Linked DNA regions of Drosophila melanogaster. The protein of the gene in region 3 interacts with the protein of the main gene of each other region in a pairwise test. Each region holds a gene or a part of one and is shown on either strand. Other genes may lie near its edges.

The links.
Region 1: the proteins of CG17327 (region 3) and Shrm interact in a two-hybrid assay, tested with the Drosophila melanogaster proteins (one large-scale study listed by BioGRID).
Region 2: the proteins of CG17327 (region 3) and CG13148 interact in a two-hybrid assay, tested with the Drosophila melanogaster proteins (one large-scale study listed by BioGRID).
Region 4: the proteins of CG17327 (region 3) and CG13577 interact in a two-hybrid assay, tested with the Drosophila melanogaster proteins (one large-scale study listed by BioGRID).

The regions. Positions count from the first base shown.
Region 1 is NT_033778.4:14,306,479-14,311,199, forward strand, and holds the start of Shrm (shroom), read left to right. Parts: upstream 1-1,663; 5' UTR 1,664-1,815; intron 1,816-4,721. UniProt on the Drosophila melanogaster protein: Binds to Rho-kinase Rok and targets it to the apical cell cortex where it mediates apical constriction.
Region 2 is NT_033778.4:12,684,512-12,689,313, reverse strand, and holds CG13148 (uncharacterized protein), read right to left. Parts: upstream 3,066-4,802; 5' UTR 2,997-3,065; intron 2,706-2,996; exon of another isoform or gene 2,528-2,705; 5' UTR 2,308-2,527; coding exon 2,235-2,307; intron 1,718-2,234; coding exon 1,534-1,717; intron 1,476-1,533; coding exon 620-1,475; 3' UTR 528-619; downstream 1-527. Other genes in the region: CG30053 (uncharacterized protein), read left to right, coding at 1-519; Nup188 (nucleoporin 188kDa), read left to right, coding at 3,242-3,267, 3,330-4,567, 4,640-4,749.
Region 3 is NT_033777.3:12,996,365-12,999,710, forward strand, and holds CG17327 (uncharacterized protein), read right to left. Parts: upstream 1,363-3,346; 5' UTR 1,159-1,362; coding exon of another isoform or gene 978-1,158; coding exon 558-977; 3' UTR 512-557; downstream 1-511. Other genes in the region: CG7488 (uncharacterized protein), read left to right, coding at 1-260, 318-505; CG44194 (uncharacterized protein), read right to left, coding at 961-1,158; CG7518 (uncharacterized protein), read left to right, coding at 2,221-2,736, 3,077-3,160, 3,219-3,346.
Region 4 is NT_033778.4:24,266,857-24,270,978, forward strand, and holds CG13577 (uncharacterized protein), read right to left. Parts: upstream 2,324-4,122; 5' UTR 2,237-2,323; coding exon 2,234-2,236; intron 2,175-2,233; coding exon 864-2,174; 3' UTR 521-863; downstream 1-520.

The DNA.
Region 1 (4,721 bases), on a different chromosome or scaffold from region 3:
CATATATGTCATTCTATCAATCAAACTTTTGAGACTTTTGGCCAAAAATATGTTTTAATTTATTTATTAATTTATTGTTTTTGAATGATAGCTTTAACCTTTTTTGGGCACATGCTAAAATTCAGAAAACAAAAATATTTTTTCACTGATTGTGATCAATTTGAAGAATATAGTATGAATATGAAATGGACAATGTGAAACTGTGACCATAAAATTAGGTATTTCAATCCTCACAAATATTACTACTTACTTCTGTTAAAACGTTTCATATTGATGTTGCACGAATTACGAAAGGTAATAAATATTCCTGTTAGCTGCAAGCCAAAACGTGCAGTTTTCAAAGAAACATATCGCATTGTTCTAAGATCTTTTTTTGGTAAGGAGTTCAAGTTCGAAACCCCGACTTCGTTGGTGGTCTTGGGTCTCCTGCTACGTCTTCTGATTCTCCTGAGAGCACACACACTTAATTAAAAATAAAAATCAACTTGCGCTGAAAATGAAAAGTGCAAACAGAACATAAATCAACTTTGAGTGAATCAGAATAAGAATCAGAATCAGATTCGAAATCGGAGTCCTCAAGAACTCAGTTTTGAAAGACTGGACCCAACGGCCTTGCTTATCAGCCGTTTTCCCTTGCTTTCCTCATTCGTTGGCTCTTTTAGACGCACGATCTTCTTATTCCCTTTTTCAGCTTTTTCGGGTTCAGTTTTTTTTTTGTTTTTGGCTAAGTTGCCATTTTGCCGTTTGCGGCAACAGGTTCTTGGCTCGCTTCTTGGCCCCTCTTTCTCTCGCGCTCTCTTTGTCCGTCCCTTCCCCCTCCCATTGATATGGATGAGTACTGGACAGCGGCAACAGGTTCTGAGCGAAAAGAGCCGACTCTCTCTCTCTCGCTTTTACCCTCTCCCACTGAGATAAGTGACTTTCAATACGAAATACAAACATACCTGTTTGCTTCGGCTTTACTTGATAAGAGGCTCTAACCCCCATTATTTAGCACTAAATTTACCACTGGGTCTTGGACCCATCTCTCTCTCACACGCACACACATGCACACGCTACACTTGCAGGTAGAGCTACAACAACAACAGCTTAGTGGTGTCTCAAGATAAAGATACTCTCTCTTCGGCTCTCTGGTGGACTGATTTCCAGCTGGCCGCTAACGTGGCCTAACTGAAAAATGCAAGGTATGATCGACTGGTTACAAATAACGTAACAAACCGAAAAAATGATCATGTGACACCAAAATATAATATCCTTAAATAAATAAAAAAACATTGCCTACTTTCTGGCGAATTTCTCTGTGTGCTCCACAAAAATTAATAAATTTTGCAGAAATCATCATCATTATATTAGCACCTGTTAGCTTAAAGAACTTAAAAAATATGGATTTTGTTAATGTTTTAAATTATATTTCTTTTCCCAAATTCTTCAATAAATGTTGGAACTTTAAATTATTAACCATAAGGCATCGGTTATTCCGCGAAATTCTTCCAGCACATTGTGTAAATCTAAAACACACATTACAATACAGGGTACTAGGATAGTCGTGTACTTGGAGTGAGCCAGTAGTAGTCTGCGGCTTTTTCGCAATCGCAGAGAGAGAGAGCCGGAGGGAGAACGGGCACGAGCCCGATTGGGATTGGAATTGCTTGATCGCGAGTTTCAGTCTTCTTTTGGCTCTCGCACCGTGCAGTTCGTGAGGAAAAGCGGAAAACCCAAGGAAACCCAGAGCGTTGCATGCCCCGCGATTCGGGGCTCGTGTCCGTGTACTGTGTACCTGTGTGCCCGCGTGCTCGTGTGTGTGTGTGCTAGCTTGTGAGTTAACAAAAAATGAAGCAACCGAAAATGCACAAAAAATTAAATGCAGTTTCTACTCAATGAAAATGCTGTGAATAAGTTTAATCAGCTCTCAAGCTCGTGTAAAAAGCAAGGGAGAAAAAACAAACAACAACAACAATTAGTGACCAAAAGCACGAAACGGCACAAAAAACGACAAAAACAAAAGGTGTCGTGTAAAAATGCGACCGAAAAATTACAAAATTCAGCAAACATAAACAAAATAAAAAAACCCGTGTACAAAGATCAACCTTCAAGGCTAGAAGAATTCTTCCGCCTTAAAAACAGAGCTTTGTGTTGCCTTTTAGCGGGTGGCAAGAAGTTTTTGATTCTCCCTCTTCTTTATCTTCATCGTATTCTTCTGCGTCTTCTCATTTTTTTTTTCGTGGCTGCTTCAACAAGTTTTCCCCCCAACAGCAGGGATTTTCCAACCAGTTTTTGGCGCTTGCCATTTTCCGCGCTTCAAAACTTCTGCCCCTTCTTCTGCTTCTTTTTTCTTCCTTTTGCGAGTGAGAAAGAGTTGGGAAGAAAGAGCGTCAGAGAGAGACGGGAATATAGACAAGGTGGAGCTCAAGAGCAGCTGCACATTTGGCATGGGTCAGTTTAAAAGACGAAACCATACTGATCTCGTTTGCATTTCTACACTTATAACCATAAAACCTGGCTTACAAAAATCCCCCAACCTCCCCCATTAAAAAATAGGTGTGGGGCATGTCGGTACATGTTTTGGATTATTTTCGACGGGTGCCACCAGTGAGAAAACACATTTGCGGTAAGAAACGAAATTCATTCAGCAAATGTATCTTTGAATAAGTGGTTCGTGTGACGACCAAAGCAATTACATAAGCTAGTGCAACGAAAAGATTCAGACAACTCGAAATTGAAGGTGTTTTCTTCTAGAATTGATTAAGGAGTGTTAGAACGCGGAACAAAAGAAGGTTGAAAAAACACTAATGCAATTGAAAAGCTGATAAGGCAGGTAGAGTCAACTAAAGACAAATGGAAACAATTAGGTTAGTGATATAGAAAATGAACAAAGGTGCAAGTAATAGAGGTGAAGTGGGATGCTAAGGAAGCTCATAGATGCGAGCTTAATACGTTTATATTGAATAAAGATAAGCCACACGTTTTATAACTGACTTCGGTTGTTAGACTACCGTTTAATCGACCAACTAACATGATACAACGTATTCAATGTAATTCAAATGCAGAGTTTGGCCTGAATTGGCCCAAACAATAACTGAGAGGCAGAGGCCCCAAGACAGTGGAAAATTTGCATAGACCACCACAAAGCTAGGAGAAAACAAATTCTCGAGTGCTAAAGAAATCCAATTCAGATTCTGCCAGAGATAACGGATGATAAAGAGCGGGAGGGGGCAGTAATAATAATTCAAATCCCCATCGCCCAGGTGACAGTTCTGCACTGCAATCCAGGGAAAGTGGGCGTTAATCGTTGACTCGGTGGGAATGGGCGGGTCCCATTCTGGGGGGAAGGAACTCGGAGCAGGCGTAGGGTTTCCATGTCGTTTCCATGTGACGACTTATCAACTGTCCCGACGGCAGGAGAGACGGGCTGGGGGGATCGCTTAGCATCAACATCAAATACTACTCAAGAATTTCAAAGCAAACTTGTTTGCTCAACTTGCCAGCGATTTGTGGGAGGAATGGGGGGTTTGCTACACAGAAAGAAAGTCAATGTAATTAAGTAATTTCGCTGGAAAATTGATCGATTTATTATTAGAAAACAATAAATAGAATAGCCGCTGGTGTTAATAACTTTTCTTTAATCATCGAAATGCCTTCTAAAAACTTAAGGGCCGCACCAAACGCACTCAGATTTTTTTGCCGTGTAGCCAGGAAGGTAGGTAGGTGGATCTGGTGGTAAAGGTGGAGGTGGAGCAAAGACCGAGTTCAATACACTCGGCGGCATTCAGTGACGAACATTTGGCTTTTGGGTGTTTTGAACTCATTTCGAAATGCGTAAAATTTGTTTTGTCTTTGCGTCTTTTATGTGATTGCCGTTGGAAGATTGATTAAATTATAGAGATGTGTTGTCGAGCGCCAATTGGTTTGTTGCCGATGATCTATTTAATTAGGAAGGCAAACAAAAACATCCGTGGAATGCGCTGCGAGGCGACCTTGCCATATTTGACGACTGGCTTTTCTATCTGCTTTCCACTCCCAGCCAACTTGAATTGTCGTCGTCGTCGTCGTCAACTTCATTGGCAACTCGTTTCGTTTCTGCCTCATATTTTTCACCCAGTTGCCTCTTTGGGTGTAGAGTTTTATCTTATCGGTCGCTGTTACCGGCTTGGCAGGCTAAGACTAATTATAATCTTATCTGTCACAACTAAGTAGTGCAAACATCAGTGGAACTGTAACCGAAACAGAGACGACCCCGTGGAAACATCTACAGCTGCGAATTTGGGCTGAGATCTGTTTCGCTGGAGCTGTAAATTCCTCACATAGTAAGCTGAAATTTCGGGAAAACAACATGCAGAGTGTTTTCCCAAATTTCGCAAAAATGTATGTGTGTTTGTGACCGCCTTGCCAGCTAAGCAAATAAACAGTGGCAATGATATAGGGGCGAACACCATCGCCAGAGGAATTCAACGTGTCCGAAAAATAACTTCCCAAGAAATTGCCATTTCATCACTATTTGAGATAGAATGGTATGTATGTGAGGTGGATTTGCGAGAGGTAAAAGCCACAAAAGTTGTTTACGAAGCGATCAAACTTTCTAAGACTGCAGGAATGCTTAAGGTGAATTTCATAAGCCTTCCCGAGATATTCTTAAACTAATACTTGTATTTGCTTTGAAAACTATACGGAAATACATAAGCTACTGCTGGCAAATCATTGGGGCTTACTGCCCAGTTTTATTG
Region 2 (4,802 bases), on a different chromosome or scaffold from region 3:
ATAGAGAAGAAGTCACCTCAGTGGCTAACCAGTGAACCTTGTGATGTTTCCAGCAATCTGTTGCTGAGGAAACTTTTTAACCTAGAGGCGGCTCTGGATAAGATTCATTCCTGGCAGGGACAGACATCGAATTCTTGGCACCTTCAACTGAGGAACTGCCAGAAGAAGGCGGTGAAGTCCTCTCGGCTTTTTCTGGATCGTCCCTACTACTACCCACTTCACCTGGCCCCGTATTACTCCAGCTGGCTATTGGCAGTCCATCAGCAAAAGCGAAACCAAGCCGATATATACGTGCGTGGCCTAGTGCTCATCCAGCAACTGAGTGGCCACTTTGAGATGGTTCTCCATCCAAAGAAGCCCTGCAATAAAGGAATATGTCCAAGCTTGCGGATGCGACTGAATGCAGGAGAAGGTCTGATCTTTACCACGGATATCTGGAGCCTAAGTTATGGTCTGGAGAAACCCCACGGAAAGCTGACCTCCCTGGCTAGCATTTTCGAGATAGACTGGCAGCCGTAGAGTGTTTTAGTTAGCCGAAATTGTATTTACACACCCAACTAGATACAGACGAATCGAAGCCTAAAGTTATCGAAATTTACTGGGAGGGAACAGATTCATCTTAGGCCCGGCGGCACTTGGCCTCCACCAACTTTTGCAGCGTGCCCGTCAGGCTGTTGATGGCATCGATCTTCATGCGCTCAATCCGCTCCTGCTGCACCAGTGACATTTTTTGGATCTGCACCTGTTCGCGCTGCAAACTCCGTTGTAGCTCTATCTTCTCCCGCTCCACTTCCAGTTTTCTTTCAAAGTAGTCCTTCCACCAGATGTCATCGGGGATGCCAGAAGCTTGGTGCGAGCCCATGGGTCGTGCCAGATCGTAGAGCTTGCCATTAACTTCCAGATGTTGGCTGCTATCGTTTGTACGTTCAGCCTCCGCAACTTGATCGCCATCGTACTCCATCTTGGGTTGACGGACTACCTCCGACATGCTGTTGCTATCCTCATCGAACTCATCGTTGGACTTGCTGTCCAGATTCATCTGGGCCTGCAGCAGGACCTGATCCACAGGTGTAATATACGGCTGGCTGTCCTTGGCCGCAGTCTGGGGTGGAAGTTGCACCTGCATTTGGGGTGTTCCCGGCTTTAGGCTCACCGGAGTAGGTTGAAGCTGTAAAGGTTGCTGGGGAATACCCGGATTCGGGTTTTGCCCATTAGCCGAATGTGGAGCTTGTGGCGCATTTGAAGTCTGTTGTGGCAACTGCATATCAAAGTCAGCCTTCTTGCCCTGCAGATACTTGAACATCTCCTCGAAGAACTCCCAGTGCACATAGCCGGATACGTATTTTTTGTTCAGATTCTTGTTGTAGGTGATGAGGATGTTATGCCACTTCTTCTGCACCTTTGCGGCGGAGTAGCGAAATCCCAGTCGCTGTAGTTGCCGGGTGCAGTGCAGCCAAAGAGCAGTCCGTTTTTGTCTGTAAGGGAGTTACTTTTACAAAGATGTCTTTACGGTGGAATAAAAACCTTGCTCACCTGCCCTCTGTAAAGCTACCCTCCATGGGACCGCGTATGTGAATCAATGCCCTGGTGGCCTCTGTGGTCCAAGCACGCTCGTAAGGACCACGTCCCACATTATTGCCTGCCCCTGAGGTATCTGCCTCCTCGAGCAAGCAATCATCATCCAGGTCATCCAAATCATCGTCACTTATTTGATAGGCTATGGAAATAAAAGAAATAAGTTACCTTTAATTATTGTCCTTGTTTTGAATAATATAAAAGCTTACAGATTATAATAATTATATTTGATACCCCTTTATACACTACGAAATTAACTAACGAAATCGAGGTAGTTCTAGCCTTATCTGATTTAGCTTAAGTTCAAAAACTTGTTGCTTTTGGGCAGCAGTGGCATCTCTGGCGCTCTCGCAGCATCCTTTCAGACATTTCTCTCTCTTTGTTATCCTGCTCTCATGCTCGCTCTCCCGTTTAAGTTATCACCCAACGCCAGGCCAAAAAGCATCCTAGCTATGTCAAAGATGCTAGCTGCTGCTGACATACACCTTTATGATACATACATATATACCTACATATATCCTGATACATGACACACACTATGTGCGTAGGTATGCACATATGTCCTTCCACTAGGACTGTGCAGACCAACACTTGTGCACTTTCCGGGCAATCACTCAATTTTCTATTATGATTTCACAATTGCCAATCGGCAGACTTACGTTCATTATCCTCGACATTATTTCCGTTGCTAGGGGCTTGCCCATTTCCTGCGTTGAGCTGAACTTGAGCCATTGCGGCTATCAGACTTTTGAAGTCCAATCTGCCTTTTCTGCCAGAATATGAGCAATTTTAGACCTTTCGCCTGTCAATAGTTTTCTCGTACTAACAGGACAATTTTCGGGCTGCAGCTTCCAGGCGCCGTGAACGTGAACTTCGAGTGCGCCTACTCTCTCGCGCCTTCTCCGCTCCTCTCTCGCTCGCTCTTAGATCTGGAAAAGATGGGAGGCTGCGGCTAGCCGAGGAGTAGTGGTATTAGTTTCCAAGAAATGGGCCTCTAGAATGGCGTGGTTGGGTGGCTGGGCGGTGCAGTGGGCGCCGGAGTGCAGCATCTGCGCACTTTGCACTCTGACTTCGCAGGTCTGTTAGCCGCAGCCACAGCCTCACTGGAATGGCTTTATGTGATTGGAAAGTCTAACCTAAATAGTTCTAGTCCGGCTGGATTGGAAGGCTATTTATGAAATATTTGGGAAATATCAAGATCTGAATGCTAAATGCATGTGTCAAGTTATGATTGAAGGGCCACATGCGAACGTCTATATTTGAAACCTATAAAATAGGTTTCTAAACCTATTCGCGTGAAATATATACCAATTTAACTGTAATGCTACAATAATAGATAAATAATGGGGCGCACACGTGCTTTCCATGTATATTTTATTTGTATAAATCTATAAGCGATCATCAGATCTAAGATGTCATACCTTGATTTAAGTAAGATTTAGTAAGCTAAAGAAAATGTATAAAGTACTGTATCACAATTTTCTAACTGGCTTTTTAAAACAAGAACTATCGTTTTATCGATACACCTTCGGTGTTACCAGCTGATTGTCCCGGCATTTTATTGTGCTAGGTGGCAACTCCAACGCCGCGAATTTGCGCGTGGAACAGAATACATTTGTTATTAAATAATTTTTTATTGTAGTTGTTAAGAGACAGAGCCTAGACAATGCCTGCGGTGGAAAAGAGCGTGATGTGAGTATCGGCAGTGCGACAATATTGAATGACTAAATAAAATCCTTCGATTTGCCATGTAGCACCGATTGGAAGCGCCTGTGGCCGATGGTCTCAGGAATCCACTATGAGACGCCGCAGGATACTGTACGTGAGGAGCTGATGAACGTGGCTTCTGAATTGCAGGCTGGAGTGCTCCAATTTAAGCCCAAGAATGCCTCCAGCCTCGAGCTGGGCACGTTGCTCAAAGAGAAAAAGCAGGAAAAGCTGCTGCCCTTCACCGAACGACTGCAGGATCTGTTGGATCTAGAATCCGCCCAGTGCTGGGAAATCCTTTGCTACTACCTTACGCAGGAGTACCGTGGATCGGCGAGTCTCCTTACCCAACTAATCTCTACCGAAACGAATATGGCCAAACTGCACGAAGACATACGGCATTACTACTCCCTGGAACGCATGGTTGTCCTCAAGATTGTTAAGAATCTTATCGTCTTTCACCAGGTACCGAATCATCCCTATCACCGGGAGTATCGCGCCGTGGTCGAAAAGATAACCATCCCCCGCCTTAGAGATTCATACCTAGACCAACTGGAGAGCCTTATTTGCGAAGTCCCACCCAGAAAGCTAATGGCGGGAGAATGCTTCCACTCTGCGGAACGCTTAGTTGCCTGGTCGGAGCGAAATGCTCGTGAGATCAACGAGGTGCTGCACATCCTTCTGGTGCTAGCGGAACACCTGCCCATGGGGTTGGAGCAGATAAAGAGAATATTTGCCGCCTGCAAGCAACACTCCTTTGGAAAGATGCAAAGTTATCTGGATGACAGCCAACCTTACCATCAGGAGATTATTCGAAGCCTTTCTTACTCAGAGCTAATGTTAGTTTTAAAGTGCCTCGACTTTGAGAAGCCCGAGAAGCATTCCGATCTAATTGAAAAGCTTATAGAGGATCTGCAGGTTGATATTGCCAGCATGTACCACAGACCAGAGCATGGCCCTTTGCTCCTAGCGTGGATGCTGCTTCGCTTGCGAGGCACCAACGATGCCGACGATGCCTCCAGCTTGCTCCGCTGTCGGCAGCTGGGCAAGCGAGCCGTGGATCTTAAGTGTTTTGTCCAACTGCACCTAATTGCCAGACATTCTATGTACGCCGATGACTCTATGCTGTCACGGATTGTGCGAAGAACCATATACAACCAGGTTGGATATCTGTGCGACCTCTTCGACGGCGATGGCAGCTGCGCTCGGTATGAGGGCATTTACGAATTGCTCTGCGAACTTGTCTCATGGCCACACTTAGCTAAAGACTTTTGCAGTCGGGAAGGTCAGTATCATATAATCAAAAGAGCTTAACCGAAAAAATTAGTTTAGAACGAACAACTTTACATTTATCTAGATGATGGTCCGTGTTCGCTGTACAAAACTCTTTTAGAGAACTTCCCTCTAGAATTAACACATCTGTCCAAACTGGCACTGTCACTGACAAAAGCGGGACAAGGCAACTATGTAAGCCAATACTTGTACACTCAAAGGCATCAGTTAAAATTATTTTAACAATC
Region 3 (3,346 bases):
CAAGCGGGAGTCTAGCTGGAGCCATTTTAGCGACGTGTTTCTTGTTTCCGCCTTGACCGGCAATGGGCTGCAGGAGATGCAGAACTACCTGGTGGGCCAGGCTAAGCCCAGGGATTGGAAATACCCAGCTGACATTCATACGGACTCCAGCCCAGAAGCATTAATTGTGGAGAGTGTGCGGGCTCGTCTGCTGGACTACTTGCCGCAGGAGATACCCTACAACCTTAAGTGCGAGATCGAGTACTACAGTGTGGAAAAAAGTGAGTACTTCTGTACACTCGTAAAGAAATCCTTTTCAATTCCGATTTTCTTTGCAGATGTTGTCTACACATCCGTGCAGGTTCAGTGCCCCACCACGCGAATCGAGCGCCTAATCTGTGGCGAGGGTAATGGCAAGCTGCGGCAGATCACGGAGCGAGTTACATCAGACCTGGTGGAGATGTTCGGCCAAGCAGTGTCCCTTACTATATCTACAGTTTCCAAGGGCAAGAAGACCGCCGCTTGAGCACTTGTTGATTACTTGTACTTTATTTGTAACGTTGCATAAACCTAAGAGTTCACAAAAGCTTCAAATGCGCCACCAATTTGTCTAGATCTTCGGCAGGGGCTGGACCCAGTCCGAGGACCGTTGCTGTCCCAGATTCCAGCTGAGTGCGCCCGGCATCCCTCACCAAGGCGGCCACCACGTTCGACTCTTGGGCCTGTCGCTCCAGGGAGTTTAGCTGCTCGAAGTTGTCCACGCGCAGCACTATCTTCGGCTGTCCCAGGCGACACCAACGCTGCAGAATGGCGTTCTGCAGCTTGGTTCCCTGCACAGAGCTCTGGTAGCACATGACCGCCGCATGGGCGCACTGGGCCGCTGTCTTTCCCTTGGACATCTTTAGGTCGGTTCGGACCACCAGCGCCAGTTTGGTGGACTTGCCGAAGGCCAAACCGTTGCTGAGGAACTTCTGCAGGATGCTACTTGACGTGGGCATACTTCTGGCTCTGCTGCTCCACGTACTTCTGCATGCACGCCCGGAACTCTTTCACCTTCTCCTGGCAAGCCCTCCAGTCGCCCGTCTCGGCGATACACTCCTGCACCTTGTAGTGAAGCTCTATGCAGCCGGTCTTCTTCAGCATTAGTTCCACGGGATCCTGGTCCGTCGATGCGGACATTTTCTTCTCCACTTCGCCGGCTGAATTCGTTCGTTTCGAAATTACGAAATTCGGTCAGGGTTGTCAACACATCGAAGGGACACGGATATATTCTGTACGACATTTGGCCCACTATCGAATTGAAAGAATTTACTGTAAAATATATTTTCTTGCATTATAAATGTGTTTATTCCATAGACAGAATAGGAAATTTTTAGATCTTTGGGACCTTTTTCTGTATAAATACATGATGATTTGTTTTACCTACAATATATGTTGAAAAAAGTATATGAAACATACATTCCTATGGTTTTACAATTTTTGTATGGCTTAAAATGCTTTTTTAACATTTCCCAAATCAAATTTTTAAGAACGCATTAGTATAGTTTTCTAAGAATGGACCACACAGAAGTAAAGTAAAGCTCATATAAATAAAAGTTTGTGTTTGTTCTTTGGGATAGATGTAGAAAACTTTTCGGCCAAACAAGTGTGCACGGGGTATGACCATTTATTCGTGACTCTTGCGCGGCGTTGCGGTAATTTGAGCGAAGGCCGCCACGGGCACACCGATGCGAATGCAATCAACGAGAAACGAGCGAATTGCAACGAGCAGGCGAAAAATCACAAAAAGCGGAAAATCACAACAATCGTGGGTGCAAACGAAACGGAAACTGCGAGGCAACGGAAAGTCGGGTCCCGGAAAATCCAAACGGATGGCCCTGCAGTGAAACGCTGATGAAAGCAGAGGCGCACTTGGCGCGATTCGAGGGGCAAAGCGCGTTGCGTTGTGCTGCTCTGCGTTCTTTTCCAAAACCGATTTCGATTCCAAAAACCAAACCAATCCAATACCCACACTTATACACTTGCACACCGACACACCAGCGCACACACACAGACACGCGCGCGCATACAGTGAGCGAGTGAAAGTGCATCTACATCTGTGATTTCGTATATAATAATGCGTCGCGCATACGCGGATTTGGCCAGCAGAAGCACCAAAGACTAACAAGTGATCCGGAGCCGGGGACTGACTGAGTTGGCTGGGCTCATTGACCCATCCACCGCGTGAAAGCCCCGCCAGAAATGGCCGATCAGGTGGCGCACACCAAAGAAACGGATGCAGATGAGCCGCTGGTCAATGGCGAACTGCCAATGGAGGAGGCGCCGCCTTCCTGCTGCCATGTGATGTCTCTGTCCTCCATGGACGTAGATGTAGATGCGGATGCGGAGGGCGATGTGGATGCCACAGCGTCCTCCTCCTGCGTCGCCACCGCTTCCCAGCTGAATCCGTCGCCACCGCCTGCTGGTGTCCAACAGGCGAAGCCGGCGCGGAGCAGCTCACCGCCATGCCAGCTCCTGGAGCGGCTCAGCTTTCCCGACGGCAACATCATCAACACGCTGCACACGATCCTCGCCCTGCCTCCTTTTGATCCTTATGCCCCCGCCCCCAAAGCGGAGACGGTCTACAAGGAGGTCGTATCGCTGATGCAGTGGAGCCAGCGGGAAGACAACGCCATCGAACTGGAGCTCAGCGACAAGCTGCTGCACGAGTGCGAGCACAAGGGCGGCGATCCCAACGATGAGACGCGATCGTATTTGGTGGGTTCCCAGAAGCTGCCCGAAAGCTGTGGAGATCGATTTCATTTCATGTATTTTTTTTATTTAAATGTACTATTAAAGATGTGTGTGGGATTTTTTTATATTATACCTACATTTAGATTGGATTTAATGAGTTATCAAATCAAATGGGATAGAAATTATCTTATTAGATCGACTTTAGATGTTTCGAAATACTTAAACATGATTTTTTTTGGTTTAAAGAACACTTATTTGAAATTATGCTTTAGAATATTGATAGGTGCAATCATACCAAATACATTATATTTGAGAATATAAAGCTTTCTCAGTAAATACTCACTATCGTTCACCTTCTTTTCAGATGGCCATTGAGAACATGCGCCTGTTCTCTGAGGATCCAAAGAATCCGCTTCGTGACGCCGACGGACAGCTGCGTGCAATTACGGTGTGTTTGCTTGAAAGGATTAAGATGTATAACGAAACGTACTCCTAATCCATTGTAGCTATATTTCCAGAATCTTGCCTTCATATTTGTGAAACACCGGAAGGAGGAGTTCTTCACATTTTGTTCCTGCAAGGAATGTCTCGAATACCGCGAAACCATCATGGCCATCATGATGGATCAATTTAA
Region 4 (4,122 bases), on a different chromosome or scaffold from region 3:
AATTGGCGCCTTCATTTGAATGCCAAAACACGCTTTTAAATAAATCAGCGCATTAATTATTCTCGATTGCATAAATCGTTTCGCTGTCGATGCTGCCTGCCCGCCCAGGAAACTGGCTGCCCTCCCACATCACCCATCCAATTTTCCGATTTGGCGACCCCCTTCTGCTGCTGCCAACACCTCCGCACATTTTTATTAGCTACGCATAATTGCTGCGGCAATAAAGTTGTTTTTCCCTTTGGTCCCGCTGGCCGAAAAACGGACGAGAGTCGAAGGACATGGTCATGGACATGGATTTGGATGTCGGATAGACGTGGTTGTGGGGCAGCCTGGAGGCAGTGCGCGTGACCCGACAACATAACGACATTTAAGTGGCCACCGCAGCAGGAGCAGCAACATCAGTGGCATCGGTATCAGTATCGGTGGCATCGGGCGGAGTCCTTCTGCTCCAGGCTGTGGGCGTGTGGGCGTGGTCTCGGCCATGTTTGGCAACATGTTACAAAAAATTGATGCCATTGCTGTTTTTCCCAGCTATTGTTGCTGCAGCTGCACACAGTATTTATTGTTACAAGCTGGGGAAAAATGCTGGGAGTCAGTGAAATGGTATAAAATATTTGCCTAACTTGGCAGAATTCACCAGTTTTTTGTATCAGTTGTATGGAAGCACTATTGGTTTTGGGGAATAGAAATGCACAGGTTCTTACATACAGATTTTTCTCAAATATTAAATAGATCGGCGGATAATCACGTGTCTCGTTTCGAAAAATTTTGAAAAATATTTATAAAAAAAAAGTTTTGGTATTTCTAGTGTCATTTTTCCTTTGGCTGAAGTTATACTCAGCATGATTTACACATATATGCAACTAATTCTTCAGATCCTTCTTGTTCTCCGCCTCCAAGTCCCCGATAACCTCGAGTACATCATCCAAGGATGGAGGTTCCATCAGAACACCCAGGTCGCCCGGCATATCGAAGCCCCTCAAACGCATGCAAATAGTCTCGATGGCCTGCCAATCTTCCACGTTTCCCGGAGTAGCAGATGGGCCTGGGAATTTTCCCAAGGCCCTCTCGCAGACGTGGTTCAAGTCCAAGTTCCTGCCGCTGCTTTCTTCCCAGTTAATGCAAGTGGAGCCCCACAATGGATCATTTTTGGATCTCTCATCGGTGCAGATGCTAAGCGGAAATTTGTCGTCGTTGCCCATCAAGGCATACAAGTCCCAAGGCGGAGAATTCTTTGTCAGCGGCTGGGAGGTGCGCGATGGAGTCAGCAGCTCGGGCATCAGACTTTCGACCCCCATCCTATTTTCCAGATCCGCCATGAAAGGGAAGTCCGCGTCTTTGCTCGGCGAAGCTGTCCATCCGGACGGCAGATTCGGAATCTTCGGAATCTGGCATGGATTACTTTTACTGGTCGACGGCTGGCAATCCCACTGGGAGATGACATCATTCAGGGTCTGATGGTAAACAGAATCTTCCGAACCTGCTTTGCAGCGCTTGGAAGTACTCATCAGCCTCGTGTGCTTAGTCTTGCTATTTAGACCGCTTAGATGGGCCACCATTCCTGACCTTTGATCTTCTGCACGCGTGTTCGGTGCCTTTCCTGTGACTGTGTGGCTCTTTTTCCCAGTGTCTTCTATTTTTAAATCGGGATAATTGTTGTTGTCTCTTGAAATGTTAACAGAACTTTTCGAAGGAACTGTACTGAACATCTGAGGGCTACTACGATTATTCCGAGAAAAACCGCCGATCGGCCAAGGTTTTCGCCAGTCGGGTCCAAGCTCATCCATCTTGGGCATCGTGGAAGTTGCAGCCAGGTGGCGACTCCCTTCTTTGCGATGCTGCTTGTTTTCCTTGGCTCTCATATTATTCCAAGTGCCATCTGGCCTGCCCTTGGTGGAGAGTAGCAGAGAAGGCATCTCACGCGAATTCTTAGACGTGGAGCTTTCCTTCAAAACTCGGTTTTCCATGGGTTTTGCACCCTGCTGTGGACGCTCCTTCTTCGCCGAGTGAGAAGTATGGAACAGGGTCTCCACGGTCATCCGAGGTCCGGATGATGCTCTCCCGCGTGCGCCTTCAGCTGCGGTGCTCCTGCCGGGCATCATGGGGTTTATTTCGACGAATTCGCTCCTGGGCAGGGACACCGAGCGCTGGTTGCGGTTCCAGCAGCGCTTTGACTGCGAAATACAAGGAAATATTTTAGGTGTGAAATTATTTGACGTATGTGGACTTTTACCATCGCGTTTTATCGAAATCAATTCTCTGAACTGAAAAGTTCGGAAAGAAGAAAACACGTGCGTCAAGCACGAGTGGAAGAACCTGGGCTAAGATGGCGGCAATCGCGAGGCAGAGTTGCCATGGTTCCATAGGATTTTAAACTGATTCTATAAAAGCCACACTGTTAAGGCCACACTGCTTTTGGCAATTAAATGAAACACTAACAACGATGAACATTCTCATTTTGCATTTCAAAATAGTATCAAGGTACTGCCAACTGACTGCGAAAAGCTTTTATCGGTGGCGCTCCCAAATAACAGTTCCAATTTTCGTTTAAATCCAGTGCTGCAAAATCTGCAAGTTTCGGTACTAGAAATTCAAATTTAAAAGTTACTTTCATAATACATGTTCTAATCCCAACTGATTATATCTCCTCAGCCCGATGAACTCGACCCACTGCCACAGATTGGAGGCAATGCCTCAACATGTGGCCATTTAACCCAGAGGCGCATTTCCTATAGCCATAAATTGAAGTAGTCAGGAACCTTCCGCCAATCGTCAGTTGTCTTCCGGCTTTAGCCCACCAGATCCCGATTCCGATCCGATGTCACTTTCAGTGGCTGTCAATTGCGTTGGCGCCATTGTTTCGGCCAGCGTGTAAAGCGCGGAGGGAAATTGTTATTTAATTACTCAAGCAAAAGCATGACAAGTGGAAATGTCGCCTGGGCGAGGTCCTGGTCCTGGTCCCGGCATCCGGCATCCAGAGTCAGGCCCAGCAGGCCTGTCAGCTTGTCAGGAGCAGGCGCCCTGGAAAGCCGAAGCCACCGTCGCATTGGTCACTCTGCCGCTCTTCACTGCTGCTGCTGCTCGCTTTTGTTTAAATTTAAATTCTATAAATATATCTGCACGAGGGCGGCGGTGCGGGGCCACATCGCCATAAGCACGAGCAAGTGGGTTGCGACTGCAGTTGGCATCGCTGTTGGCCACTAAACAAAAGCAGGCACATGCCGTGCCCATTCGTAAACCATTTAGCAAGCCCGAAAATCGCAGGACACTTATTTGTGGTGGCTGCGGAGGGTCTGGAGTCCTGTACGAGTCAGCTGAGTTGCTTTGGGCAAATGCTATGGTCTCTAATTTTATTGGGTTTTCTCAGAGATACATATAAATACACAAATGGCTGCACAAAGCGGTCATTCCTTCAGTTTGGTGAAGTAACCTAAGATAAAAATGGCTTTGAAAGAACTTTATGAATATTTTTATCGAATTCAAATAACGATTCCTTGGAATCGTTATAAAATTTGAATTGGTGAATGTTTTAGTATCGTATTAAGGATCTATGGTTTTGAGCTTTAGCTGTGCGAAACAGGCATTCCTAGGGCTTAATGTACTTAATGTAATGTAGAGGATTGACCCTCTGATTTTCGGACCAAAAAAACGGTATTTTGTCCAAAACAATCGACTATATCGTCCAAATCCTGAGTGTAATACCTCGTTTAGTTCGTAATCACATCCCCAATCGATTGGTGTTCGAATTTGACAAATTTAATTTTTTTCAATTTTTTGCAAATTTTAATGATGTTACCCCTTATGAAAAATTCAAAAAATGGCGAAAAATGGATTTTGGAAAAACGCCTGGATTATGATATGGATCTTTAGTTTAGGTCATAAGCTGTACAAAAATGTTATTCTTAAGTGTTTCTGACACTATTTGGCCAATTTATGATAGTTAATCTGTCATTTTATGCTCAAAAATGTGATATTTCAGGCATAAAAATCGATTTTAAGATCCAAATCCTGAGCTAGGGACCTTTAATATAGGAATTGAGCAGTGCAAAAAAGTTATTTTAAAGGGCTTCTAAAACTTTTTGGCCAATTTTTAATGGTATGTCTGCTTTTTTCGCCCCGAAA